Linked DNA regions of Diceros bicornis minor. The protein of the gene in region 1 interacts with the protein of each later gene in a pairwise test. Links are inferred from orthologs where the notes say so. Each region holds a gene or a part of one and is shown in the gene's direction. Other genes may lie near its edges.

What was found.
Region 2: the proteins of CCDC57 (region 1) and PRAM1 interact in binary tests that used the Homo sapiens proteins (3 or more experiments, as listed by UniProt). The two-hybrid records come from large-scale screens. The link is inferred for Diceros bicornis minor from reciprocal best matches to the Homo sapiens genes CCDC57 and PRAM1.
Region 3: the proteins of CCDC57 (region 1) and TMEM100 interact in binary tests that used the Homo sapiens proteins (3 or more experiments, as listed by UniProt). The two-hybrid records come from large-scale screens. The link is inferred for Diceros bicornis minor from reciprocal best matches to the Homo sapiens genes CCDC57 and TMEM100.
Region 4: the proteins of CCDC57 (region 1) and FAM161A interact in binary tests that used the Homo sapiens proteins (3 or more experiments, as listed by UniProt). The two-hybrid records come from large-scale screens. The link is inferred for Diceros bicornis minor from reciprocal best matches to the Homo sapiens genes CCDC57 and FAM161A.

The regions. Positions count from the first base shown.
Region 1 is NC_080757.1:61,588,982-61,595,844, reverse strand, and holds the start of CCDC57 (coiled-coil domain-containing protein 57), read left to right. Parts: upstream 1-3,850; 5' UTR 3,851-4,308; coding exon 4,309-4,472; intron 4,473-6,234; coding exon 6,235-6,368; intron 6,369-6,863. UniProt on the Homo sapiens protein: Pleiotropic regulator of centriole duplication, mitosis, and ciliogenesis. Critical interface between centrosome and microtubule-mediated cellular processes. Centriole duplication protein required for recruitment of CEP63, CEP152, and PLK4 to the centrosome.
Region 2 is NW_026691615.1:234,866-241,997, forward strand, and holds the start of PRAM1 (PML-RARA-regulated adapter molecule 1), read left to right. Parts: upstream 1-4,112; 5' UTR 4,113-4,127; coding exon 4,128-4,256; intron 4,257-5,517; coding exon 5,518-6,766; intron 6,767-6,855; coding exon 6,856-6,922; intron 6,923-6,997; coding exon 6,998-7,074; intron 7,075-7,132. UniProt on the Homo sapiens protein: May be involved in myeloid differentiation. May be involved in integrin signaling in neutrophils. Binds to PtdIns(4)P.
Region 3 is NC_080757.1:31,650,008-31,657,666, forward strand, and holds TMEM100 (transmembrane protein 100), read left to right. Parts: upstream 1-5,010; 5' UTR 5,011-5,162; intron 5,163-6,615; 5' UTR 6,616-6,680; coding exon 6,681-7,085; 3' UTR 7,086-7,157; downstream 7,158-7,659. UniProt on the Homo sapiens protein: Plays a role during embryonic arterial endothelium differentiation and vascular morphogenesis through the ACVRL1 receptor-dependent signaling pathway upon stimulation by bone morphogenetic proteins, such as GDF2/BMP9 and BMP10.
Region 4 is NC_080751.1:25,472,652-25,480,155, forward strand, and holds the start of FAM161A (protein FAM161A), read left to right. Parts: upstream 1-4,496; 5' UTR 4,497-4,642; coding exon 4,643-4,840; intron 4,841-7,504. UniProt on the Homo sapiens protein: Involved in ciliogenesis.

The DNA.
Region 1 (6,863 bases):
TTGCTCAAGGCCACACAGGTCAGTGCCCAGGCCGGCTCCGCCCTGGATCCTTGTGTTTTTGGGACCCCATGAGAGCCTGTGGGGGCGGGGTCCCACTGTGAGGTCAGCTCCCAGCACCATGAAGCCCATAGCCAAAAATCAGAGGAAGGACCCAGAGTCATGTGCGGTCAGAACTGGGGCCTCCTCGGGCAGCCCTGGGTGCTCCCTGTGTCCCCTTGGGGCACTGTGGTGGGAGGGCGTCCAGCTGCCAGGCCAGGCTGCTCACTCAGTGGTCACTTGGTGGCCATCGAGCTCAGGCTGTATTTCGGGATCCAGGAACCACAGCCCAAAACCAGCCCTTTGAGCGATGGCCCTTCCTGGTTTATGCCACCCCAGGACGGAGCCAGCCTGCCACCCAGTGTTGACATCTGCTCTGGGCTGGGCATGGCTAGGCCCTGGGGGCACTGATAGGAGCAGGACGGCCCAAGCCCTGTCTGAGCTGTGCAGCCTCAGCCCGTTCCTGAGCCCCTCTGGCCTTGGTTTTCTCATCTATAAAGTGGGGAGACTTTTAGAATCACCACAGACGGTGGCTGTGGGAGCTCCATGTGACATGGGGGGGGCCGTCCCATGTGACACGAGACCTGCCTGGAAGCTGGGCCCCTCAGAGCCTGCTAGCTCCATGGGAAAGTCCAGTGCCAGCCTCTTGCCGCCCTTCGGTGTCCCTCCAACGTTCTTACCCCATGAGCATTTACTGAGCTCTGACTGTGTGCCAGGGCGTGGGGACAGTTGGATCCTGTCTGTGCTGGTTGCCAGGGGCCTGGTAGGCTCCCTCAGCTTCCACTGCTCTGTTTCTCCATCTGTGATGGGGTGACCACAGGGTGGCTGCTGGGGAGCTGGCACTAGGGGCTCCCAGGGTGGCGGGCGACTGCCTTGCGGGGTGGGCAGAGGGTGGGCGAGGGGAGGGTGTGAGTCTGGCCTGACCAGCAGGATGGCGGGCAGGTTGGGGCAGTCAGTCTCGGGTAATGTGGGGTCTGGCTTGACCTGTGGGGAGACCGGGCAGGGAGCCAGGTGGAGAGTGTCAGTCATCAGATTCCCAGGCAGGGAGGCCGTCGAGGGGCCCTGGCCCGGGGGCTACTTGGGCCGCTGTGTGTTGATGCCAGCCCTGGTGGGCCCAGGAGGCAGGAGCCCTTGGAGGGTGGGGGGCGTTGCCTGGGTGGTCACTAAATGCTGGTCAGATGAGTGAGGGGATGAGGCAGTGATGGGCCTGAGCTGGGGGGTGGGCACTGGAAGACAGGGCAGTAAGACCCAGGCAAAGATGGCAGGTGCTGAGGGGCTCTGTGGGCCTGACTCTGGTGTCCAGGATGTCCCTTTGTCCTCCCACAGGCATCTGTTGGTCTCTCAGGGTGTGGGGCATGGAGAAGGGGTCCCGGGGAGGCCGAGTGGACAAGCTTGCAGACCTCAGAGGGGCAGGGGGGCTGATTAGGGGTGACGAGGCCCCTCACAGGAAGCTGAGCGCCTGGGCTCTCAGCAGGGCCCACTGGCAGCCTCCACCGTTTTGCTGGCTGTGACGTTCGGGGGCAGGGGTGCACGGCACCTCTCTGGGCCTAGCACCCTGGAAGCCTTAGCTAGGGCTCAGGTGAGAGGGTCAGAAGTTCTGGGGTTGCTGGGAGACTAGAGGAGGGGCCGGGAGGACGCATGTCACTGGGAAAGGGTAGTAGGAGCAGGCCCCTCCTATGGGAAGCAAGGCCATGTTGACCCTGGGGCTGCCCTTAGGGTTAGCACCAGGGTCAGGGTTGGGGTTGAGGTCAGTGTTAAGGTTATCATAGGGTTAGGGTTAGGGTTGAAGTGGGTTAGGGTTGGCTCTGGGTCAGGGTTAGGGGCCAGGGATGGTGAAGCACAGAGCTCACATTCGTTGTTAGGATCTGTCCTTTTTGAAGAGGGTGCGTCCTGTTGGCCCTTTTGGTTTACAGAGACACACCACTGAGCCCCTTCACTGGGGCTGAACCAGCACCCGCATAGTTCACATGGTGTTTGTAACCCTCAAAGCAATGGGGAAGGAAGCATGTTCACCCCATTTTATGGAGAAGCAAACCGAGTCCCGGAAAGCTACAATAAGGCAGAAGTGGAGCTGGGATTTGAACCCTGGCTCTGTCACAGCATGTTACCCCGGTCTGGAGGCAGTGAGGGTGCCCAGGGCCTGTGAGATGCAGATTAAAGGTCACGGGACCCTCTGGGCTCCTCCAGGTGGGTGTGGCTATTTTCCTGTGGTTTCTGTGCAAGGATAGGATCATGTCTTCCAATATCCATGAGGCTTGAATGACTGATCTGTCTCTGATTCTAACTCCTGGACCTCCCTCCAGGAGCCACCTCCTAAAGCAAAACATTTCTTATCATGAACTGGGTGGGACGTTTGTCCAGCACTGGCAGGACCAGCTTGGGGACAGGCCCCAGGCAGCCAGCATGCCATCAGGGTGGAGAAAACACGGATGGACAGGAGGGGCCGGACCAAGAGCATGGGGGAGACTGTGTCCCCAGGCCCCTGTGCTCATCACTAACGGGAGCCCTGCGGTGCCACCGGACAGGCGGGCTGAGCAGTGTTTTGCCTCCACTTGTTGCGACAATGCTCAGACGCCAGTGAAGGGTGTCCCTAAGCACGGGTTGGGGGCCTTGGTGAAAGTTTCACTTTTGCCTATGTGAGGCAGGCTGCCTGCAAAGGTTTTGTTTCTCTTTTTAACTTGTAATGGAATACACAAACACAAAAGCGCACAGGTTACGAGTGCAACAATGATGAATTCTCACAAATCAAACATCGTGCAACAGCGCCCAGAAGAAGAGCCTCCAGGGGCCCCCAGAGCCAGCCTGGGGCAGCCCCACTCGGCCTGACCGCCGCCTCCCCTTCAGCATGAGCGCAGTCGTCCGGCGCGCCCTGTCTCTGCTGGAGGATCCACGGAGGACACTACATCTCTCGGGGGCTCGGGTGTTCGCTCCCCGCCACGTGCAGACCCACGGATTGCAGCCGGCTCCCCCACGTGCAGCTCCGGACCCCCTCCCACGCCTCCTGCGCAGTCGCACCCGCCCCGCGTGCAGCCCCCGCCCAGGTCGGTCCGAGACCCCTGCCCGGGCTCAAGTCAACCTCGGGGCTACGAGATGGGCGTGCTGCGGGAGCCCAGCTGTGCGAGGGAGGGCCGTCGCGCGGGGGAGCCTCGGCCGCCTCCCGGTCGCCCCGCCGCCCCGCGACGGTCTGGAGCCCTTCTCACTCGGCTCACCCTCGCCCGGAGTCGGGTGGACCGGGGACCACCGCGCGCCCCTCGGCGCCTGCGCGCGGGGCCGGGCGGCCCGGGACCCCGGCGCCGGGGCTAGCGTTTCCGGCCGGCGGGACCCGAGCGCTGCACCGAGCGCGCCTGGACTGCGGCCGACGGACTCGGGTCGCCATGGCAACGCGGCGGGACCCGAGGCCGCTCGGAGTGGGCGTTCCGAGTGAGGCGCGGGCGCCGCGGGACGAGGCCGGCTCGCGGGGGGCTCGGGCGGGGCCTCGGGCCGAAGCGCGGGGGTCGTCGCGCGGACGGCGGACGTGCCTGGGTTCGCGGCTTGTCGGTCGCTCGCCAGAGAGCAACCCGGGGCTTCCCGGCCCTGCCGGGCAGGGCGCTGCGTGCGGACGCCCAGCCGGGGCCGGGCCTGCGGAGCTCTGCGCCCGGCGTGGACCCCGCGGCCCGCACCGGGACGGGGGTGGCTGGAGAGTCCGCCGAGGCCGTGCTTGCTTCCGAGTGGGCCTTCCGGGACCCGGCGAGGTGTGCCGTGCGGTGAGGAGATTGCGGGGTGGGGGTGGGGGCGGGGGCGGGGGCGGAGCGGCCGAGCTCCACAGCCCGTGAGGACGGACTCAGACGCGGCAGTCTGGCCGAGGGTGGGGTTCTTACGTTGTTTGGCACTGACAAGAGTTGCCACAGGGGTGCGAAGATTTCCCCTGTACGTTTGCCGAGATTCCCCAGAACGTTCCGCTCGCCTTGCCACCGTTTCTTCAGCAAACGAGGACACTCGCGCTGACGCAACCGCGGTCTGCTCCCTGGGTTTCTTCAGGCTCGGCGGCGGGGGCCTTTGGCGCCTGGAGTCGCTCACGGGGTCCCGCGAGCACCGTTCGTGTTTCCCTGCTCCTCCGCAGGCTGCAGCAGTTCCTCAGTCCCGCTGTGACTGTCACGCGTCCGTGTTCCATAGAAGGCTCTCAGTGGGGGTTTATCTGGTGTTTGCTCACGAGTGCTTTCAGTTATGCGTTTTGGGTGAGAAAACCTCGACAGTGAAATTGTGTTCTCAGTGCGTCTACTCGGGAGGCACGTGATGCCGCTTGTCTTAGTTGGACTTTGGTCGCTGGTTTGGGCGGTGTCTCCGTCATGGAGTGACCGTTCTCCCCTTGTGAGTGATAACCGTCTTGTGGGGAGATCCTTGGAGGCTACGGAAATGCTCGCTCATTTCAGCAGCGGCAGTGCGAGTTTCCTGAAACGGTAATGAATGTCGTAGTTGCCAAATGGCGATTTTCCCATGTCGGTGGTTCCTTCGGCATTGATGAGTTGGACTTCTGCTGTGCGAGAGAACCTCCCCTTCTGCCCGTTTTTCTGTTTATTCAGTGAGTTATTTGTGTCGGTACAGATATTTTGTTTTTATTCCATAGGTTATAACCCATTGCTGTCGCTCTCTTGTTGCCCTGATTGTCCGGATTTGGGCATTAGGAGCCCCTTAAGGGGGTTTGGCTTCTGTGTCCTCAGCCTTTTTGAGCACTTCCTTACTTTCTGGCATCACAAGATGTTCCAGGCTCACCTTGTGGTTTCCTCGACCTAGCCCAGAATCGGTCATTTCTCTAAGGAGTGCTGGTTCTTTTAGTGTAGACGGTGGTGTTGAGAAACCCAGATGTGGGTGCAGGTGTGCTCACTGCTACTGGAGTGGGGTTGCTTTTTAGCTTTCTCAGTGGGTGGAGCTAGGAAACATGCATTTGTGTACACCACATACATCGGGATCTGTTTCTATGTCTCCATATCTGTGTATTTACTAAAAACTGTGAGTTTACCTCAACACCTCCAGTTCTAGTCTGTTACCAGCGGGTTCCTTCCACAGTCCTTTTCCTCTCTGAATCTGGCTCCCATTTTCCTCAGTAGATTGACTTACTTGCTCAGTGCTAGACTATGCATACAGTAGTCTCAGAATTGCCAATGCATAAGCAAACCTACCAAGTAGACTATAGTATTTACGCACGGTTGTTTTGCTTTTGTCCCTAGAACATATAGTCAAAGTGCTGTTTGACAGAGTTGCTTTAGTGTGTTTATGTTATTCCTTTGTGATAAGTTAGGTTCACTTGTTTCTGTTTGTGTTTGGTTTTGAGTCTTTACTGATTTTCGGTTTCCCTATGTGAAAGAATCATTTATGTGGTTGTGAAAGTCAGCAGAGTCTAAGCTCTTAACTACAGCACTATTCAGCTTCTCTTCCATTTTATTTCTCATTTACTCATTATCTTTGTGGCTGGGGGGGGGTGGGGCGGGGCCGGCGGCAAGGGAATTTGGCAGATGTAAACTCAAATAAAAAAGCACTGCATGCCCTGCCCTGGAGTGGTGCCCCTCACCTCCAGCAAGTGCCAGTGATGGGATTAAGATCTTTCTGTTGCTCAACTCTCTTATTTCAGGTTTTACAAATGGTTGAGTACCACTTGGCAGTCAGTGAAGGACAGAAAGACGCCTTGGGGTCACAGGCCTGTAATTTTCACTCCCTAGCCCCCCTTAAAGATGATGCGTGCTGAGTTTGGCTCTCACGGCTCACGTTGGGGTTCCAGAGGGTGGCAGCGTCGAGTCCGGTGTCTTGAGTGCAGAGCAGATGAGCCACCTCTGGATTTTCCTTCAAGTCCCAGGAAAATATTTTGTAAATTCAGCTCATTAAATGTATTTACAGAGCAACAAGAAGACAATGTTCCTGACTGAAGTAGATTTGGGTTCTTGTGCATTACGAGTGGTGGGGCTGGTCCTCATAGTGGTGAGTGGAAAGCCAAACCCATCTGGGGCTGCATCCTTTCGGGGAAGGAGATGAAAAGAAACCCCCTCTTCCGATGTGTCTCTGACCAGCCAGTGTGCCTAATGGGCTTGTTTGTAAGCATCTCATGACTTTTAGCCTGAGCGGATGGTCCTTTTGTATAAATTTTGGAGTCTGCAACTGCTTTTGTTTTATGGAGGTCATGTAATGCTTTTCCAATTAAGTACTAATGAAATGTTTTTTCTAAAACAGGTTGCTCCAAATTTGTGGTCAGCCAAACAGAAGTGTGATTAATTCCACTGTCACATCTGCGGATCAGGTGACCTGCAGGTTCACCTCTGACTTGGATGTGTTTTGCTTTGATGATCTGGTCATCTTGGCGAGGGGTAAGATGAGGGTGGGCAGAACCATCCTCACCTGCTGCTTCCCTGTTTATCCAGGAGGTAGTCAGTGCAGCCAGCTTGCTGGAGAGCTGGGGCAAGGGCAGGGCAAGGCCAGCCCCTCTGCAGAGCCCACTGTGTTTGGGAAGTTCTTTCTCTTCCACGTAGCTCCTTTTCATACTTCGTTGGGACTCATCGTTTGTCTGGAACTCTTTCCTCTTAACTACGATGCTAGCTGTTAAGGGGTCCTACTTGCAGCTCTGGCAGTCTTTGGCCCTGTCGTAATTTGTGAAGCGATATCTCAGAGACTGTCACTAGCTGGAAGCGCTGACTCCAGACCCTCCTTCTCTCTGTGCCCTGCGTGTGGAGTGTCACACCCTGGGCATTGTTCCCTTTGCTCTGACGAGGCTGGGCCCCGTGCTCAGGGTGAACCACTACAGACCCCGACCGTGGAGGTCGCCACGTTGCCTTGTTATTCCACGCCAGGGCTTTACCTGAGCT
Region 2 (7,132 bases), on another chromosome or scaffold:
CTGTCAGACCTTTCCAGAAAGACCCAGAGCCAACATCTTGGTCCAGGTACCTCTCCCCACCCCATCACCCACGTAGATGCAGCAGCCCCTCCCATGGATACAAGAAGCCCACAGCCCCCTGCTGCCCTCTGGGGCAAGCTGAAACGGCCCCGAGGCCTAGGGAGCCTGGGTCACCACCTGGCCTGGGCACCCTGTCCACTCGGAAAACCACCTCTGACCCTCACCCCTGCCAACTTTTGTCCGCTCAGTTGGGAGGTCTTACTGCTCCCAGTGCCCCTTCTGGGCTCCCGCTGTCCTTGCCCTCCCTCTGGCCCAGCTCTGACTCCACAGAGGGTCCCCCCTCACCCTAACTCCAGGATGCCTGCAAGCCGAGTGCTCTCGGGGCCCGGCTCCGCCCAGCAGAGGGCGCCCAGGAGTGTCAGTCTGAAGGGAGAAGGAATGAGGGGGGCCACCGCCCGCTCCATCACCTGTGGGGGCCGGCTCGGTTACCCTCCCCCCTGACTGGGAGAGGGGAGGTGAAGGCTCCTGGGCGCGCGTCCCCGGACCCTGCTACCGACCGGGCCCGAGCACCCCCCTCCCGCGCTCCCGACACCTCCGCGACCGCGGGCGGGCTCGGCCGCCCACGTGCTCCGTCCTCCCCCCCGCGCGCTCGGACCACGTGGGTCTGAGCCCGGCCCCCCTGGCTGCCGCTGTCGCCGCCCTTGGCTCTGGCGCAGCGATGGGGCACACCAGCTTGGGCTCCCTCCGCGCGCTCGGAACCCCAACACCCCTCCCTGGCCCGCAGTTTCAGACGCTCGCCCCAACGAACCCCCGCAAGACCCGAAGGCGCACCCTGGCCCGCGCTCCCTTCTCTGGGCTTCCGGTTCCCTAGCTCCAAGTGGAGCCGCCTGTCCACGTTCACGGCCGCCACGAAGACGCCACACACGCAACGGGGAGTGGGGGGGGACGCGCCCCCTGGGGGCCGAGCCGGGAGCCTGCGTGCCCGGCCCACAGGGGCTCTGCCCGGTGGGACCCTCCAATCTGCGAGTTCCTGGCGGGGGGTGTCCACAGAGTGCCTGGGGAGTCACTAGCGGTCATTCAGCCCTTTAGCTTACCTTGACTGAGCGCCTACTGTGTGCTCTCGGCCAATAATCGCTGGTTCTTCATTCATTCTTCCCCTCACCGCACACTGGGAGGGTCAGTCAGCCTGTGACTGGTGCCGAGGACTCAGACCTCGTCATCCTTGGCCTCCGGGACTCCTGTTTGGAGTGGGACCCACATCTGGGAATGTGGCCCAGGATGCGTGTGTGTCGGTGCAGGAATGGAGAGGCACAGGCACAGCGGCTCCAGAATCCTCAAGCTGTGCTCTTAAAGCAGACATAGGAACAAGCAGGCAAGGTTGTTTCCAACTGTGCTGCCTGTGGCCTTCGTGGCAGGGCAGGTAAATGAAGAGCTCTTCAAGACAAATGAGCCTCCTTCTCTGTCTCAACTGGATCCTTCCGGATCCTTCTGGAAACATCTACATCCTTGCTACTCCAGGTGTGATCCTTGGACCAGCAGCATGAGCCTCACCTGGGATGGTCTGGAATCTGAGGCCCCTCCATGGACCTGCACTTAGTGGGGTCTCGAGGTTTCTCAGCTTAGCTGTGAGTTAGAATCCCCCCTCGAGTGTTTAGGAAATCCCCAGGCTCAGGCCACACTGCAGACCAATTTGGTCAGAATCTCCAGGAGCTTCTGTCTTTGTGTAAACTCCTCAAGTGATCTGATGCAGAGCCAAACTGAGAATCAGGCCTCTGCTGTCTCCAGGGCGGGGGAGGGGTTCCTTCTTCATCTGTGTGCCCGAGGTCACTGACCTCCTGGGGCCTGAGCCCTTCTCTGGCCGGGCCTCACACTCTATCGCACAGCGATGGTCCTGCCCATTAGCTTCACCCCCTCCTCGCTGGCCTCCCAGCCATCTCCATTTCCCTCCCATCCTCTGTCCTCTGGGAACCTGGGGTGCCCTAGATTCCCTCCCTCCCCAAGGGGCAAGGCCGTGGACACTACCCACCCACCCAACGCCAAATCTGCCATCCCAATTAGCCCTCTGCCCAGCCACAGCCATCCACAGTCCGTGTGACATAAAAAGGAAGTCCTGTTCAGAACTGGGGAATCGGACGGCGGGGAAGTGTTGAAATGACGAAGGCGGATGAGGCAACGAGCCAGAAGGGCCTCACCCGCCACACTCACCCGACTCCTGGGTCTCCCCGCCTGGAGCTGACTGTGCCCCTCCCCCACTGAGCACCTCTCCCGTGGAGGCCCTGGCTGGAGCGGGCCTTGGCCTGCCTCCGTTGGCAGGAGGTCCTGAGGGCCTGACACAGAGTCCCCGGTGGAGCCCAGAGGTCAGCGGAGAGTGAGGGGGACAGCAGAGTCGAGAAACTAGTGACTGGGTTGGGAATGTGCTGCCGTCCGATGCACCAGGCGTGGAGACAGTAGCAGGCAAGGCAGGGGCTTAAGAAGTGCCCAACAGGATCTAGGGACAGGCTGGGGCTGTCTCCGCCTCCTTTCCTTCCTCCTCTGCCCTCCCCACCCGCCAGCAGCCCCCACCTCGTGGGGCCCGTGGAGCAAAAGCCACAGTCACTTCCTGAAGGCAGCAGCCCCGGCTCGGGTCCCACTCGCCCCACGGCCCACCACCCGCCTGCAGCCATGGTGAGTGAGTCCCCAAGCCCTGGGAGGGCCCCCACGGGCCGGAGGCAAGGGGTGCTGTGGGTGGAAACTGGGGAGTTCCAAGAGGGGAGCAGCAGAGAGGGGCAGGAAGCCGTCTGGAAAACGAGAATGACCGTCACAAAGGCCCAGAGGTGGGAAGCATCCAAGACACGTCTCTGGGACACCTCGTGCTCCGGGGGGCTATGGTCCAGGCCAAGCCTGCGACCGTAAGGGGGACAGGGGGACTGCCGGGACTACTCCCCTCCCCCATGTCCGTGTGAAGAGCAAGTGGGTAGCAGGCAGCTATGATGAGCAGTACAGGGGCTTCCTGTGAATGAGAAATTGGGTTACGCACCTGCTGCCCCCCCGACCCCGGCAGTCATCCAAGGTGACCTGCTGACCCTGATTCTCTGGCCCTGTGGGTCACCTGGGAGCCCTTGCCCCGACCACCCGACCACCCGACCATAGTGGGGCTTTAACAGAGGCATTTCAGGCCCCAGAAAGGAGTCGCCACCTTCCTTGTTCTCGGGATGGGGAAAGCGAGGCACAGACAGGGGCACAGTCCACATGGTTCTGCCCCTCCCCTCCCCCAATCTCCTTGACCCCGGGGGAGATTGGGGGCCTGCAGCGGGGCCACCTCGGGGGTAATTTGTCAGGCAGAGCAGGCCTGGCATACATGTGCCTCTGCCTGTCTGTGACCGCTGGCGGCCGGTCGCGATGGCACCCAGGGCAGACTGCATGAGCCACAGAGGCTGCATGGGGGCCTGCATGCTGGGCCCCAGGGGTGCCGTCGACCGTGAGCGCCCCTGACCGCCAGCCTGGGTGTCTGGGCCTCAGAGAGAGACCCCACACCCACATCTGCCCCCAGGTCTCTCAGTGTCTCTCTGCATCCGTCTACATGAGTCCGTGAGGGGCAGGCTGGACATGGCTGAGTCGACGCCTGTCTCTGTGCCCTGTGTATATTCTTCATTTCAGCAAATGTTGACGGAGCCCCGACTGGGTGCCAGGCACTGGGAGGACAGCAGTGAATGAGCCGAGTTGCTCATTTAAAAAGCCATATGAGTGAAATAAATAGTATGATACAGGGCGGCAGGTGCTAAGAGAAAAATCGTGCAGGTTGGGGAGGATGGAGAGTATTGGGAAGGGGGAATTGTTTTTTTTAAATTAGCGTGGTCTGGGAGGAAGGCCTCTCTAATAAGGAGATACTGGAGCAGAGAAGTGGAGCAGGAGGAGGAGGAAGAGAACCACGCGGTGGGGGGAAGTGTCCCAGGCTAGGGGCGGGGGGGGGCGGGGGGGGGGAGGAGGAGGAGGGAGGAGGAGTTGGGGACCAGGTAGAGGTTGCTGGATGGACGGTTCAGGGCCTTCCTAGGAAGAGGAAGGAAGGCTGCCGGATTTTGAGCAGAGAGGCACAAGCCAACTCATGGTTAACAGGCTTCCCCCGGCTGCTGTGGGGGGACTGACCAGGAATGGGGTGGGGGGCGGGAGGCCAGGGAGGAGCCTGTTACAATAATCCACGCAACGGGGGACAGTGCTTCTGGCAAGTTCCTCCAGTGGTGACAGTGGTGCAGGCGGTGAGAAGTGGTTGGATTCCGGAGGTATTTTGAAATGAGAACAGAAAGGACTGGGGACCTAGGGGGTGCAAGAACGAGGGGATCTCGAGGATGCTCAGAAGGAAGGCACCACCCACTGAGGGGGAGGCTAAGGAGCAGCAGGTGGGGCCGAGGGAGGTAGGGCGGACAGGAGCTCAGGCCCTGAAGGGGTGAGGTCAGATCCTGATGGCGGGGAGGTCAGGTCCTGATGGAGGGAAGACTGGGTCCTGATGGGGGGAAGATTGGGTCCTGATGGGGTTGAGGTCAGGTCCTGATGGAGGTGAGGTCAGGTCCTGATGGGGGGAAGAGGGTCGGGTCCTGATGGGGGGAAGATTGGGTCCTGATGGGGTTGAGGTCAGGTCCTGATGGGGGGAAGAGGGTCGGGTCCTGATGGGGGGAAGATTGGGTCCTGATGGGGTTGAGGTCGGGTCCTGATGTGGGAAGATTAGGTCCTGATGGGAGTGAGGTCGCGTCCTGATGGGGGGAAGATTGTGTCCTGATGGGAGTGAGGTCAGGTCCTGATGGGGGGAAGATTGGGTCCTGATGTGGGAAGACTGGGTCCTGATGGGGGAAAGACTGGGTCCTGATGTGGGAAGATTGGGTCCTGATGGGAGTGAGGTCAGGTCCTGATGGGGGGAAGATTGGGTCCTGATGTGGGAAGACTGGGTCCTGATGGGGGGAAGATTGGGTCCTGATGGGGTTGAGGTCGGGTCCTGATGTGGGAAGATTAGGTCCTGATGGGAGTGAGGTCGCGTCCTGATGGGGGGAAGACTGTGTCCTGATAGGGTTGAGGTTGGGACCTGATGGGGAGGAGGTCCAGTCCTGATGGGGAAGAGGGTCGGGTCCTGATGGGGGGAAGATTGGGTCCTGATGGGAGTGAGGTCAGGTCCTGATGTGGGAAGATTAGATCCTGATGGGAGTGAGGTCGGGTCCTGATGGGGAGAGGGTCGGGTCCTGATGGGGGTGGGGTCGGGTCCTGATGGGGAGAGGGTCGGGTCCTGATGGGGGTGAAATCGGGTCCTGATGGGGGGAATGTGCGCTGATAGGGGGGAGGTTGGGTGCGCATTCGGAGCCCAAGCAGAGAGGTCAGGAGGGTGTAGTTTACAGGAGCCCATGGAATGTGGGAGTCCTCAGCCAACAGAGAAGAGGGCCAAGGGCAGAGGGTGGGGAAAAGGAGGAGCCTAGGGAAGGGGGTGTGTCCCCAGGGCTGTCTCTCCACAACCCCTGTGTGTTTGAGTCCCTGCCTGACTGGCTCCATGTCCCCTAGGGGAGCCATCAGGACTTTCGGACCCTTCAAGCAAAGTTCCAGGCCTCTCAGCCTGGGACCAGTGAACACCCCCAAAAACCCCCAAAGCCTGAGTTCAACAAACTCCTAAAGAAGTTTCCGCCGCCTGAGCTAAGCGAGCACCCCAAGAAGCCCCTGCAGCCCGAGTTCAGTGCAGTGCCCAGGAAGCCCCCGCAGGCTGAGTTCGCTGATCTCCCCAAGAAGCCCCCGCAGGCTGAGTTCGCTGATCTCCCCAAGAAGCCCCCGCAGGCTGAGTTCCCTGGTCTCCCCAAGAAGCCCCCGCAGCCTGAGTTTGCTGATCTGCCCAAGAAGTCCTGCAAACCCGAGTTCGGCGAACTCTCCAAAAAGTTCCCACAGCTTGAGGCCACTCTGTTCCCCAGGAAGCCCCCGCAGCCGGAGGCTGGTGAGGCCCCTCAGAAGACCTCGCAGACTGAGCACGGCGCACTTGGCCAGAAGCTTCCACAGCCTGAGCTCAGCCACCCTGCCAGGCCCCCCACAGAACCCAAATCCAGTGCATTCCCCAGGAAGTTCCGGCAGCCTGAGCCCAATGAGGCCACCCCAAAGCCCTCGCACCCTGAGTTCAGTACCTTTCCCAAGAAGCCTCCGCAGCCCGAGTTCAATGCGAACCTCAGAAAGCCCCCACAGCCTCAGGTCAGTGGCCTCCCCAAGAAGCCCCCGCAGCCTGAGTTTGGTGACCTCACCAGGACGTCCTCGGAGCCTGAGGTCAGTGTGGTTCCCAAGAGGCCGCAGCAGTCCGATTTCAAAGCGCTCTCCAAGAAGCCCCCGCAGCCCGAGCTGGGCGGCCTCCCCAGGACCTCCTCGGAGCCCGAGGTCAGCCTGCTCCCCAGGAATCTTCTGCAGCTCGAGGTCCGGGGGCCCCCCCGCAAGTTCTCACAGCCTGAGCCCAGCACTTTGCTCAAGAAGCACACGCAGGCTGAGTTCCTCGGGGGTCTCCCGAGGAAGCCCCCGCTCCCTGGCTCCGTCTCCGAGAGCTCACTGCCCACTGCCGTGGCGGGCTGCAGCCCCAGGTTCCCGCTCAGCCCAGGGTTTGGAGCCAGGCAGCAGAGGTCGGGGGCTCTCACTCCTAGCAGAGGGTCCAGGCTGGGGCTCAAACCCCGGCGGAGGCCTCTGCCCTCCGTCAGCATCCTGGGACCCCCTCCAGCCAAGCCCCCGCTGCCCCCGGGCCCTAGGGACATCCAGAGCTTTCGGAGACCCTCGGCGGCGGCCACAGGTGGGTCAGGGCGGCACAGGCGGCAAGGAAGGGGCAGGGGCTCCCTGGCGGTGCCTGCCCGCCTCCCTGCTGCTCCCATCTCCCCACAGCTCTGCGGAGGACCCACTCTTCCACTGGGATCCACTTCCAGGCCCGTCTGTCTGCCGACGCGCTGAAGTGAGTGTGGGGAGCGAGGGGCGCGGGCGCAGGTGGTGTGGCCGGAGGAGGCCCTCACCTGGGGTATCTCCGCAGGGCCCCGGATGAGACCTACGAGCTGTACGACGACGTGGAACCCACAGACGACTCCAGCCCCAGCCCCCGAGTCAGAGGTTTGTTGGTGGCGGGGCCGGGCCCACCACCTGCCAGGGTGCCTGAGGAGCGTTCAGT
Region 3 (7,659 bases), about 30 Mb from region 1:
TTTATGAACATGGAACAAAGAAAAGCTAACTGACCCTTACAGGATGTCACAGATTGTTGGTTTTTAGAAAATTTTACATATAGCAGCGTGGTTTCAAATCCCCAGCACCAGATTGATGCTGAAGCCTAGACATTATGTGCTGACTAAGAGTGGATTGGAGTCACCCCATGTGCACATCATTTTATGGACAGGACAACTGACATTTGTCACCAGAGGCCAGACAGAGATTGTGTGTGTAAAAAGGGCATAGTAGGCCCCCATATGATCAGGTATCAAGAAGAGTGGCAAAGCGTGAGGTCGCTATTTTTCCTTCCCTGGAAAAAGGCAAGTATGGTGGGCTTCCTACAAGCCCCTGAACACAGGACCCACAGCCCATTAGAGGAGGCTGACCTGAGTGCTACACACCTGTTTTGGGAAAATGTCAGCCCAATTTGCTATAACTCCTTATCTTTGAGCTCTCTCATCTTAGGTCTTCAAAGAATGATATACACAAATATAAAGAATTATGCAAGGAACATGGGGATGTATCAGGATCATAGCAGTTTCAGCATATATTTGGATTTTAAAACAAGAAAATCAATTCTTCTCATCCGAGGTTGGAGTGACAATAGTTCTCGTTGAAGCGAGAGATGATTTACTCAGCCCTCCCTAAGGTCCCACTGTGTCATTTGATTTCAGTGGCTCTGTTTTTTTATGTTTATGTGATCTTTCATAGTTATTCAGAACAAACTGAGTAAGAGAATGTTGACCAGGATGTGTAGCTAAAAGATGTATGTTTTCCTTTCTATATCCACATGAGTTCTGGTACCTGGAAATTGACCAGCAAATAGTAAAATATATATTTTATGAGTTGTGGTACCTGGAAATTGACCAGCAAATAGTAAAATATATATTTATGTTTAATGTATAATCCGTCGTTCCTCTGGGTACCAGCAGATCTTAGACCTCAAAGACAAGTGCCTAGGGGAAGCAATAATAGCATGACCTGTTATCCAAAATGAACACACAAGCTCAGATCACTTTCCAAAATGTCCATGATTTCAGAACATAAATGAAGATACACCCTTAAAAGAAGCGCTGGAGAGGAGAAAAATTGGCCTGCTTCCGGAATCTCACTGAATCCAATCAGACAGGATGATGACCGAGATCAAAGGCATGTGGTGGTTGCACTGAGGGCCGGGAGGACCTGGCATCTTCAGGGCTGCTGGAAATTAGCCAACTCAACCACACCAAGCAAAAGCAGGCTGAAAGTAAATACGGGTGAGTAATTGAATGCACATGGGGGTGCTCTTCACAAATGCAAAATTTGTGTGTTCCCAAAGGAGAAATTTCCAGGTCTTCAACAGCATATGCTCAATGGCAAAATCAAAATGTCCCCCTTTCCAACCTAGAGCCTGAACCCTTGGCTTCTATTGGAGGGAAATAGGCAAAATCTTCTCTTTATCATAGCATTTACCGTCTCCCCCGCCTTCCTGTACTTCTGTATCCCTCACCCAAGTAACTTTGTTTCTGGTCTTGCTTCTAAGTAAAATGAGATTTTTCAAATTTGGGGGAATTCTCTCTGGAACAACAAGTGCTCCTAGCTCGGCTGTTTATGATGCCTTTGGTGAAGGGTTGCCTCAGTTCATCAGAGATGTGGTTTTCCAGTCCACCATCATTTCCATGGTGTCTTGCCATCCTCTGATGAAGAGCGCTGATAAGATAACTCCTCTGACTTTAAGGAGAGGGTCCACACAAGCACCAAATGCCATTTTCACCATCAATCCTTTTCTTCCTTTACTCCTTTTATTACTTGCCTGTTAACAGCGAAAGAGATTAGTTTACCGTGCCACTCCCTACCCCCACACACTTTCCAAACTCCACACCCGCTTAGAAGCATAGAACAAGGATTAAAAATCTTTTCTGCAGGTTCACAGTATTACAGAGGGCTAGTATCAGGATGGGGCTTTGGACAGGGAAAATCTTGAAAATGAAAGCCTGAATGAGTATGTAAGGAGAGAAAAACAAAGGAGAACATTCTTTTCAAACTTGGTTCCCTTTTTAAAAATGTGGATTACATTCTGATAGAAACGTAGGACAAAATACAGCAGCATTTAAGGGATTTCGTCTCACCAATTTTTCTCCGGTCCCTAAATTGTGTTTAAGCCTTGTGGCGAACTTTGTTTACGGTCCCTAGTGCAGTGATTTGCATCCCCCTTTCTGGGTTGCTGTTAGCCGGGGCTGGCAGCTGTCTCAGTCCGATTCTGGCTGGGAAAGGTAAGAATCTTTGCCTTGCTTTTTGAAAGATCTGGGAGAGAAATGCTGAATTCCTACGGAGGGATGGGGAAACGGGGTATAGATTAATTCGTGCATTGGAAGCTTTCTGAAAAGTTCTCCAAACTTAAAGGAATCTCGTGGAGCCATGCGTTTTAAAACAAACCAGAAAGATTTCCCTTCCCTTCAGAAAGAAGGCTTGCAGAAAGAAGGCTGATCGCATTGTGGATGAGATTTGCATTTGGGGGCAGGTGTCCCTTAAGGAATTCCTAGGGGTGTTTAATATCTTATAGGCAGAGAGTGGAAGAAGGAAAAAACATTCAAAGACATCAGGCATGGATTACTAGGAATTCTCTTTGAATTTCAATCTGAAGAGGTAAAAGTCAGTTAAAATTGCATGTGTGGGCGGGTACAATGATAGGTCTCTATTCTTCAGATACAATTTCCGCTTTGTCCCCAAGCTTTCTACTTCTTTGTGTTTATCAATACAAATCATCAGTGGTCTACTTAGAGTCTAGAGATGTGCATCTGTGTATGTAGGCAGATGCAGACCCTCTGAAGAAGAATTAGGGTGAATGCAACACCTGAAGCCGGAAGAAGGCTTTGGTATTAGGAAAAATAATGACAGACCTGCCCACGCACGCTCCCAGCGCACAGATACTCTCACTGTCCCTCATTATAGACTCAGCCAGGGGCTCTCGTCATGGAGAAAAGTTGCCCCTGGCTTCTCTTTGGAACAAGTTCGATTCCTGCACTTCTGACTTTGGTAATGGGGCAACATGATCTTCAACAGGATCAGGTGACATTCAGAGTTTCAGTGGGGTTATTGGACTATTTGGGAGAGAAAGCAGCCTGCGCTAGGAACTAGAGAGGAATTGCCTGGCAAAGGCCCCAGTTCACAGATGGCAGGACTGTTGCTCTTTGAAGGAGCTCAAGAGCCTCCAGTATATGTAGCCAGTAGCCCTCGATATCACCATCTTCCCAGGGCAGGGTTGGCCAGGGCTGAAATGCCCTGGTTCTAAGGATCCCTTATCTTTAACGCCAAGGGGCAGCGCTCCTGATTGATGACTCTGTCCCTTTAGGCTCCACATTTTAAAAAGCGTGAGGATGGTGGCACCGAGGCCTTCCAGGTACTCACCGACCTCAGCAGGCTGGGTTCCCCCAACTCAGCCAGGCCTCAGGGACCTCAACTTTATTTTTTAAAATGAAGAAGCCCTCTCTCTGGCTTCCATTCTAGAGAAAAGAACATCTGTTCCTTCTGCTTTTATGACAAAATCGTCAAGGTGTTGTTCCTAGACGAGGCTGGAAAGAGTGGGCTGTCCTGGAACAGAGGTGAGATGCCAGAAGACACCCAGGCCCCCTGTTAGCGCTTAGAGAAATCTAACGACCAGAGAGAGAGAGAAGGAAAACCAGTTTCCTCCGAGATTTAATTTAGATTTGTAGATTGGCTGTGTTGATTAAAAAGAAGTTATTAAAACTTGTATAGATTAAAAAATAGAGGACGGGTAACTTTTAGCTACAGAAGTATAGGGACAGGCATATAATAGTTACCCAGTATTATCTCACTTTTGGCCTCAAAAAGACAATCTGGGGCTTTAAAATTTCAAATAGCTTGTCTATAATAAAGTAGAAAACTATAAAGCCATTTGCAGGGTGGGAGTGGGAAATAGACCTTTAATTTTATTGTTTGAGGGCGAGACGTGTCAAGCCATATATCTTTGAATGTTTAAAATACCTTGCTCATTACAGTGGGCCAAGGAGCGGTAGATTGGCATCAGCCAGGAGCTTGTTACAGACCTACTGAATCAGAATTAGCATTTAACAAGCTCCCCACATGATTTATGTGCCCATAAAGACTGGGGTTCAAAACAAGAGTTTCTCTCTTTCTGTGTGACCTTTGTCAGATTACTAAACCTCTCCGAGCCTCATTTGTAAACTATTTATAAACTCATTTATAAGCTAGTGAGAATTAATGTCAATGCATGCACATTGCATGTGCCATGCCCATAGTAGGTGCTCTGTAAATGACAGCGATGATGATGATGATGATAATTTCAGCATTGCCAAAGTTACCTCCCAAGTAGTAAGTAATCGTGTTTAAATCAAGATGACAGGTTTTCCCCCTTAACCACAACATTTGTGTCTCGCATCTTGGTTCCTAAATGAATTAACGTCAAACAAGGAGGATTTTAAGCTTCGGATGGCCAGCACACACGTATAAATAAAGAATCCCGGAGAAACCTAGGAACATGGATTTTTGCTGGCTGACAGGCTGAATTCAGCTGCCTGATGACTTCACAGCTGTTCCCGCCGCCCTAAAGCGTCTGTCCCTCCGGCTCTGTCCCCTCAGCTGGGTCTGCAGCGCTGACTCGGGGATTTTCTTATGAAAATGCCTGATGGGCGGGAGGAAGATCTGGAGGTTGGCTGGGGAAAAAATGAGTAATGTGAAGCAGTCTACTGAGTACATGCTGCAAGAGAAATAAAAGTAAAAACTGGCTCCTGTCTCTGGGGACTCTAGAATGATTCTGACTTATCATGTCACTGAGCAGAGTTGGGGGAAGCCAAAAGTCGGAATCTGCTGGCAAGGAAAAGAACGGAGAGGAAAAAAAAGTGGCAGGGAGGGGCAATCCGGAGGGGGAGGAAATAAAAAGAGAGAGAGGGAAAGACAGGCGTCATTTAGGAACAGAGGTAGTGTGGAAGAAAGAGCTCCAGGATCTAAAGTCAGCTATAGAGTACAGTATTTTTACATCTTTTCTTTTCCCCGGGGGAGAGCCCTGTCCTGTCATTTTATCAACAGACGTGCTGTTACAGGCTCTCTTCCCAGAAGCTGACCGAAGAAGCTCAAGCGTTGCTGTTTCTTCCCTCCCAAGTCGAGTGGTTTCCCTGGTAATGGATTGCTTCTCTGGGAGGTACACGTAAGTAGTTTGGGGACAGAGCTTCATTTTCAGGTTAGCTTAAATCTCGGTTTTGGAGTGAAGACTTTTTTCTTTCAAACATAGTCTCAAATGTCCTTTTACTAGCCTAGCCAGTATTTAGGGTATCATTGGACAACAGTGCTTAATTTGGTGACAAAATTACATGCAAATAGGCAGCTCTAGTATTTAGCTTTATTGCCCAGGGAGGGATATTTTGACCTCCCAGGACAGGGAAGAACCTGTGAAGTTTGATCTGGGGTTCAATTTGTTTTCGATGGATGCTTAATATGTTCAAAGTATTAATCTCATTGAAATGGTCTCAAGTATCTTCCTTGGAATGCTTTTAATAACTTAACTACTCAACTCTTTAGCAGCTAGATTGCTTCTTGAAGACAAAAGAGAATGACTTAACATGTCTGAGCAGCAGGCAAGAGTATTCACTGATTTCTCATAGACAGTATTTCAACCAGATGCTTTTGATTGACAGTGTCAGATTTTGTCCTGAAATGTTCAGTTTCAAAATACTTAGGTGACTGGCGGCAAGTTTTGTACACACGTGCGTGAGAAAAAATGAACGTGTGAAACTTAACTGAAAATCTAGCATGCTTATTTTTTTAAGCATGTCATGGTGCATGGAATGTCAAAATTCTTTGTTGAGTTTAAAGGAAAATTTATGAATTAAAAACTAATTACTCTAATAGTTGATCTTATCTTTAATGTAAGGAAGCACAAAATTATATCCTACAAAATTGTTGAATTTTTTTTATTTTTCCTTTTTCAAACAGATTGGAGGATATTGCCACATTTTAGGTCACAAATCCTAGCCTTAGTGTCACTGAATTTTTGCTGAACTGCATCCCCAGCGTGGTCCCAGGACACATTTTAGGCTGTGTTCAATAGTTAACACAATAAAGCCTTGTTGACTGTCAAGTTGATGTGGAAGACCATCATTCGTACGATGGCTGCTGGTCTGACATTGATTTGGTGGGCAGTGAATGGGTGATAGTTTGGAAAGAATGCATGTTATGCCCGGAAACATTGGCAGAGTCTAAGTTGCTATGAGTTGTGGAACAAACTGTTCAAAGTATTGTTTATAATGTATTCTCCTCTTGAATGAGGCTGTCTTTGGATTAGGATTGAGGCTTTTCTGTGTGTTTAGAGCAAAAAGAAGCAATAGACAAAACAGAAAGGCTTGTAAAACATTTGTAGACCACCAGGGTATATTAAACACTGTAAAGTGCTTCCTGCTTTTTATATTGTCGCTTTCTTTATGGTTATCTGCTTTATCTTGCTTTTTGCCCAATACAAAGAGAATTAGAAATACAATTAGAAAAAAAATTACAGTTGATTTTCACATGCATCCATGCCTCCTAGAAAAGATCACAGTGGTGTTTCCCCCGCTCACTCTGATGCATTTAGCTGACATCTCCTGTCTTCTCCTCCACAGTTTCCACCGTGGTAAGACTCCCCAGGTCTAGTCTGTGAACTCAGCCAGGAGACGCTGCTGTAAAAATGACTGAAGAGCCCATAAAGGAGATCCTGGGAGCCCCAAAGTCTCCCAAGCCAGTGACAATGGAGAAGAGCCCCAACAGCGAAGTCATAGTCACCTTGGTTCCCCTGGTCAGTGAGATTCAGCTGACGGCAGCTACGGGGGGTGCCGAGCTCTCCTGTTACCGCTGCATCATCCCCTTCGCCGTGGTGGTCCTCATCGCCGGGATCGTGGTCACTGCTGTGGCTTACAGCTTCAATTCCCACGGCTCCATCATCTCCATCTTAGGTCTGGTCCTTCTTTCATCGGGACTTTTTTTGTTAGCCTCCAGTGCCTTGTGCTGGAAGGTGAGACAGAGGAGCAAGAAAGCCAAGAGACGGGAGAGTCAGACGGCTCTCGTGGCAAATCAGAGAAGCTTATTTGCTTAGGACTGAATGAGACCAAATGGGATATGTGGTCTGAAATAGCTGCTCTCACTCTGTCAGCCAATGCACCCCGAATGGGTGCACTGCACCCCGAATGGGTGGGAGAGAATGGACTTGGCCCTGCAGCGGACTAGAGGAATGGGGGTGGCTTGAGGGTGGGAGGGTGGAGGGGGTTCTTTTTTGTGAGTAACGTCTTGTGTCTTCTTCAATGACAAACTTAACTCTAAGGGCTATTTTAAGACTGAAAAATCAGCTTTTTCTCTACATTAAACATTTTAGGGGTCATGGGAGGTGCACAGCATCAGACAACATTTGGTTCACCTTGGAAAGTAGCCAAGAAAAGAGGAGAAAATAATCAGACAGTTCTGGCACACCATCGACCTGCTTCCAAAAGGAATAACTCATGCTTTTAAGATGTTGTATCATAAAAATGTCCTGCCGAGAATCTAAATGGCCTTGGACTTTGCATACTTCTATGAAATTCTGTGATAATTTTTTTCCAATAAGTTGATTCTCTGGCATCTGGTTTTTCACTTTCAGTAACTCATCACTGGTGGTACTTTTTCTTGAAGAATAA
Region 4 (7,504 bases), on another chromosome or scaffold:
TTGTCCCAGGGTGTTGATTCTTGCCCAGTGCCTCCAGTCAGATGCTGGGGAAGCCAGATCTTGGGCCACTGGTTCAGTGCTTCATCTGAGTCTGGAAGTGGTGTAAGGAGCCAGAGCCTCCATGGGTGTAGTCAATGTTGCTTTAGCACAAGAGATGTAGACTCTGCTACTGCAGCAGGGAGCAAGAGGACCAGAGAGCAAATGGAACTAAGGAAATAGTCAGGTATCCTAGAGAAGAATTAGAGCCTTGGTTCTCCAACCTGTAACACATTAGAATCATCTGAAGCATTCTAGAAGCTATACTGATAACCAAGTGTTCAAATTATTTACTTCTGCATTAAAAAATTACTCCAAAACTTAGTGGCTTAAAAACCACTTAAAATATATGTTATTAAATATATTAATAAATTATTACAAGTTAAGGGGCCGGCCCGATGGCGCAAGCGGTTAAGTGCGCGCGCTCCGCTGCAGCAGCCCGGGGTTCGCCAGTTTGGATCCCGGGCGCGCACCAACGCACTGCTTGGCAAGCCACGCTGTGGCGGCGTCCCATATAAAGTAGAGGAAGATGGGGACGGATGTTAGCCCAAGGCCAGTCTTCCTCGCCAAAAAAAAGAGGAGGATTGGCAGATGTTAGCACAGGGCTGATCTCCTCACACACAAAAAATTATTACAAGTTAATGTATAATTATATAATAATATTATGTTATGTATTATCATACTACATATTAATATATAAATAAAATATACAATTTATATTTAATGTATATTTTAAGTGGTTTCTAAGCAACTATATTTATTTCATATGTAATTTAAATATAATTATTCTACAGATTTTATAATTTCTGTCATGAGTTCTTCTGTAACCTATGAATTGTTTTTTAGAAGTATTTTAAAGTTTCCAAACTGAAAAGGCTTTTCTAGTTATTCTTTAATTATTCTCTAACTTAATTGCATTAAGTGATCAGAGAATGTTGATTGTTTGATGTTAATCCTTTGAAATATGTTGATGCTAGCTTTATGGCTTAGTACTATGGTTACATTTTATAATGTTCCATGTGTTCCTAAAGTAATGTATACTCTCCAATTGTGTTTTTTTAATATATATATATTAGCTATGTTATCATCCAATAGCTATGTATTATCTAATTGTTAATTGTGCTGTTCAAATCTTCTATACCCCTTCATATGTACACAAATGTATCAAAGACTTCCACAGGACTGTTCACAGCTGCTTTATTCACAGTAGCAAATGTGGCAGCCATATAGCTGAGCTGCTTGGATGTCCCCTAAAGACAGGATCTGCTCTGAGGAGTGCAGTCAATCGATACAGCAGTGTGCTGGAGCCTGCTGGTACGGACTTGAGAGAGTTGATTGTAAAATTTTCAGCCATTACTAATTTGTTAAACACAGCCATTATTAAAAATTAGTTTTGCTAAATTACAATTAAATAATGTTCAAAACAAAGATAATTTCTCAAAACTCTTTACCTCCTCTTCTGTTACCATATTTTACTTATATTTATATGCTCTTGAGCTTATTTGCACCTACTATATCTCTGCAGTGAAAAACTATATAATGGTGTGCTACTGGACGTCCTTCCCCAAGTTCATGTTCAGTGATGTCACATTGGTAGCTTGGAATTGGCCTTGGTGGGAGTATTGACACCATGTAAATCAGCAAATGCTATAAATTGGACTTTTAAACTTAAAGTGATTGACAGGGAAAATGTTCATAATGCAGGAAAAAAACTTAAAATTGTGTGGTGCCTGTAGCCACTACATTGTGAATAGCACAAAAAATTAAGGAAATCTTTCAATATTAGAAAAGTATTTATTTCAGTGAAGAAGTTGCTCACGATATTGAAAAACAAGTGAAATTCTGACATACATTTTGATTACTTCACTTTCATCTTATTAATATAAGCAAAAATATCAACCAATATCCATGCTGGAACTACATTGTTAATCAACTGCAACCACAGGCTGGCTTCAGATACAAGAGTTCAGCAAAAACTAATGAAAGTATTCTGGGAGAATCAATTGTTTATGAGGAAGTCACAGTAAAGAGTATATTTTGATATTTCTAAGTTGTATGCTACAATCCTTTATATCACTAAAATTTACAATAAGTGTGTCATCACACACACAAACACACACACACACTTTCCCCCAGAGAGTCTCTCAGTAACCATTTACCAGCATACCAGCACTTGAGGATTTTTCACAGTGTTCCATCTGAGAACATGTTCTTCCCAGGGAGCTCTAGCCAATGATTGAGATGGTAGGGCTGGTAGGGTCTGGCCATTTCTGCCCATCGCAGAACTCCTCTATGAGCAATCTTAGCACTGGAGCTCTCTTTTTAACTAGCTGAGACTTTCTCAGAGCTGCACTGCAGTTTCAACCTCCTCCTACACAACATTTTCCCTTCCCTCTCTCCTTTCTAAGGTGTCAGATCGTATGTTGGCCTGAAGACTTTCCTGCTCCTCTTCCTTTTTCTTTCACAGGAATTTTGCCCAGTAAATCTCTTGCACTTCTAATTCCTTCTTGGTGTCTGCTTCCTGAAGGACCCAAATTGACAGCCAAAAAATGGAAACAACCCAAATGACCATCAACAGGTGAATGGATAAATTTAAGATAGTGATAAAGACAACGTTAATAGTGCAGATTAAATATGAGTATGTCTTGTCTGTTACATTATGAATAGCACCAAAAAATGAGGAAAATTCTTCCAGTATTGGAAGATTATTATCTCTTTAAGCAAAGAATTCTATTCAGCAATTAACAAGAAACAGACTACTCATATATACAACAACATGGATGAATCTCAAAGAAAAATAACAGTATGCTGAGCAAAAAGAGTACATATGGTATGATTCCATTTATATGAAGTTCTAGAACAGTCAAGGGGATGAATGGGGAACAGACTGGGAAGGGGTACAAGGAGAATTTCTGAGATGATGGAAATGTTCTATATCTTAATAAGGGTATGATTTCATAAGTGTATGCATTTGTCAAAATACATCTATCTATACTTTTAAGATCTATTCATTTCAGTGTATATGTTCCATCTCAATTCAAAAGCGCAAAAACAATTCTTCCTATAATGATGTAAGATGTGTCATTTTCTTCTTGTGGATCTGTCCATTTCTGTTCTGTATACTTTGAGGCTATGTTATCAGATATCTGCAAATTTAGAATATTGCTGGTGAGTGGAAACTTTTCTGCTCTTCTACATACACACACATCGTGTCCTCGACACTCATTCCTTCTTTTCTATTCTATTCTTGCCTAATCTTCCATTTGCAGTGCTTCAGCATGTAGACCTCTATTGCTGTTTTGGGGTCAGGTTTGTACCTAATCCCAAGAGGGGCACATGCAGCCACAGAACCAGCTGCATGTGAAAGACCGGAAGTCCCTACTCTGGTCACTTGGGGTGTCCATACCTCATGGGCTTCCAGCTCTGGCTTCTGTTCAGAATCCAGCCAGCATCTGTTCCAGCGTGCGAAGCAAATCTCAGCAAAAACAAAGAGCAGCCTGAAGGAAGTGGGAGAGTAGGGGATTTTGCAGGTGCTCACACTCCAGACCCGCGAACAAGAAAGGCTTAGAAACAAGAAAGGCTCAGACCTCAGAGATGGGTTCCAGACGGGGTACGCATGCTGCATACCCTAACTTTATGGTGGCAATGGCTGGTTGTAGGGTTGTAGGTCCGGGGGCACAAGGAGGCTGAAGAATAGAGAGGGGGAGGTTGCAGCAGCCTCAGCCTCAGAAAGCAGGAGCTTAGGTAGCAGGTGGCTGAGACTGCACCTCATCTGCTCTTTTAAGGCTAGGCCTCTCCTACAGGCACGCGGCCTAGCGGGGAGGCGCCATTTGAAGCACCCAAATCTCGCGCGGGAAATGGTGGTAGGGTGAGGTGGAAATGGAGTGTGTCTGTGGTTACTGGTGAGCGCTTGCACCCTCCAACCCCACTACTATAAAGCTGGTGAACCCAAGCAGCAAACGCCCAGTTCATACAACTGTACTGTCACTCACTGGTGGGTGGGCCAGGCTCCACCGAACTCTGGCTTTTATTGGTCAGGGCAAGAAGAACACGAGTGGGATAACTAGCAGCCTCTTTCGGATTGGTCGATTTCTGCTAGCTCTCAAGTCAATCAGAGAAAAATGTACTCCTTCCCATTCTCTGGCTCCCGGGGGAACCATGTTAGGTAGCAGAATGCAAACCTTGCCGCTGTTCTGAGATCACCACACAATAGCATCCTCTGCTTTCTCCTGCCGCCGCCATCTCCTCCTAACATGTTATTTCATGCGCTCTTTTTTGCACAAAACGATCTGTTTCATGTGAGAAGTCTACGTTTAGGCGGTGAGGCGAGAAACTGGGGAAGAGGTGCTCTGTTCCGCCAGCCGACCCTCTAAACCAGCAAAGACTGAGTAATGACTCCTGTTATCCAGGAAGCGCCGGTCTTAGGTCTCCGGCAGCGGGAGAAGAGTTTGAGTGACTTTTGGCCCCTCGCGGCCCCTGTAGCGTCCCTAGTTACCGCGCCCCTCGCAACCGCCCTCCTCAAGCAAGGAGCCGCCGGGTCGCCTGAGGCCACGCCAGCTTCCCCGCCCCGGGCCAGCGCGGGCGCTCAGGCCTCGGCGGCGAGGTGATGGCCGCCTCCCATTCAGGGGCGAAGCCGGTGGCCTGCAGTCTCCAAACCCTGGGAAATCTCAACACCGGAGCGCGGGTCGCCCAGTATGAACGCGAAGACCCCTTAGAGGCCCTGGCGGCGGCGGCGGCGGCCTTGGAGGAGGAGGACGAGGAAGAGGAAGAAGACGAGGAGGCGGTGCGGCCGGCGCGGGCGCCGGTAATGCAGGGGCGGGATGTGGGCCAGGGCTGGGGGCCGGCTGAGGGCTGGTCCGCGTCCGCGCTGGGCTGAAGGACGGGCTGGGACACGCGGCGCCCTGTCCAGATTCTCCCTAGCCGGCAATCCTTGCCCACCACCTTCTTTCTGCCCCCGCGGAAAATACTCAAAACCGAGGCTTTGAAAAGTCTTTTAATTTTCACCAAAGAGATTGTTGAGAGAGCATTTACTTTATTTCTAGAGAGTGCAAAATACAGAACTTTACTCCTTATGCTCTAGCATCTGTTGGGAGTAGATATTTCCTTTTTAACTTAAGGAAAACTGATCTACCCCATAGTGGATAACTCATAAAAAAAATCAGGTGAATCAGCTGTGCTGTCAGCTGTGTTTTGTTGTCACCTAAAGTCTTGGTTATTAGTGCATCTTAACACAATACATGAGAGGCAGTGTTTAAAACCATCAGGAGTTCAGTGGGTAAATCAGACACAGATGTAGTTAAGCATCCAGAGAAGCAAATTACTGAGTTTCCGATGTTTCCTAACCAGCTCTTCAGGCTCGAGTGAGAGCCTTTTCACTAATCAATTTTCAGTGTCAAATGTGTTGTGAACACCTGTCTGCTAGGTAGAGGGCCGAGTCTGCCATCTGCTCTATTCACTTAAAAGATTGGAACCTTGAATTTTAACTAGCAATCTGCAGATATAAACCTCCTTACCCCCAGATAAAGATTCTTAATACTGTTTGTCCAAAGCTTCTCATACAAAAAAAAACATTATGGTCTAGGGCTAATAGAAATGACTGGATATTTTGGAATTCTAATCTCTTTACACTAAAACTGTTAATGAGAAAATCTGTAGCAACACCTTTTAATGTCAATATTTCAGCAACAGACATAAACTACTTGAGGTTATTTAGAGTAAGGCAGGTTGAGACCCTGAACCTGAACCAGGCTCAGAGTCCTAGGACCTTTTTCATTCATGATAAAGTTTCCATTCAACACAAGTTTTAGTAGCCAACAAAGGGAGCAAAGTCATGGAGGAAAAAGATTTGAATGGAGGAAAAGAATTTGGAGTCCTGGATTAGGATCCATTCTCTGCCATTTGCCAGATGATATTAAGATGTAACTTCCTTCAATCTCAGTTTCCCTAGGTGTAAGAGAACTATAATAATTGTCTCTCTTTCTTGTCTCACTGGGATGTTATGAGAACCAAATGAGAGAATGTGTGTCATATGTAAAGATCAGTTTGTATAAATTAGTAATAATAAGAACTGCCAGTGGGCCTGTGATTTGAACAACTTGCCCAAAGATTACATTCTCCTTTGGCTTACTGTGGTAGAGGAGTCAGTCATTTCTCTAGTTCCACGTATAGAGTGCCTTGCTAAACTGCAAATTTGTATTGGAAACTTATTACCTTAGGAGAGACTAGTTTATATAATGAGCTAATTTCAAAGGGACAGGATCTTACCCCCCAAAAACAAAGCTAAGTCTTGTGAGTTTGTCAGTGTTCTGAGACCACCACACTTGAAGGATCCAAAAGCAAACCTGGATAAGCTGCCACAGTAAGCCTGATAGCCAGAGGACGCTGGGGCTGGGGGAAGATGCACTGAAAGACAGGAAAGAGAGTGCAGGAGCCAAGCTTTGCCTTCTTCACAGTTTGCCTTGGGTCTCCACCTTGACTTTTAAAGGTTAATTTGTCTCAACTTTGTCATCTATAAAATGTAGTAAACTCAGATGCTGTAGCCACTACACAAGACTGATTAGAGAACCAACTGTCCCAGGCCCCTTTCAGTCCTTTGGTTTCCCAAAGACAACTCCCTCCCCACTCCACACACACAGACACACACACACACACACACACACACACACACACCGTTGCAGGACTCTCTGCCCGTATTGGGCCCTGAGGCATGTTCCTTGAATCTAGCCTCAGTTGGACATATCAAGGACATATCATAGGCCTTGTTGTGTGACTGATGATGACTTGGGCAAAGCAACATTCTATAATTCGCTGTTAAAATTTCACTGACTCTCCCAACAGGGAGGCCTTCTCTTTTTCAACAAATTTTCCGCATTTAGTAAGTCACTGACTATTAATAGTCACTGACTATTCAGTGGTGAATGAAGCAGACGTAGTCCACATCATCACAGAGCTTCCAGTCTGCTGGGGAACTTAGACAATAAAAAATCAACAGTCAAATGATTATAAGATGGGAAATGTCGGGAAAGAAATGAACAGGCTACTATGATTAAAAAAGGAAGTTGGAGGGAACTTACTTAAATGAGTTAACATTTAAGTCCATGCCTGATAGATGGGAAAGAGCAGCCATTTGAAGAGTGGGGGGTGGGGAGGCATTCCGGGCAGAGGGAACAGCGTATGCAGAAGCCCTAAGATAGGGACAGAAAGAGCTTTGTGTGATTAAGTATCTGAAAGAAAGCCAGCAGGGCTGGAAAAGAGAGAAGGAAAGAGGGGAGGAGATGAGGTTGGAAAGGTAAGCAGGGCCTGATCATTCAGGGCCTTATAGACCAAGGTAAAGGGTTAAGTGTTTATTCTAGGTGCAGTGGGAGGTCCTCAAAGGCTTTTAAGAGATATGACATGTTCCTATTTACATTTTTAAAAGATGACTCATGGCTTTGTGGAGAATGATTGGAGGGTCTGACAAAGCAGAAGT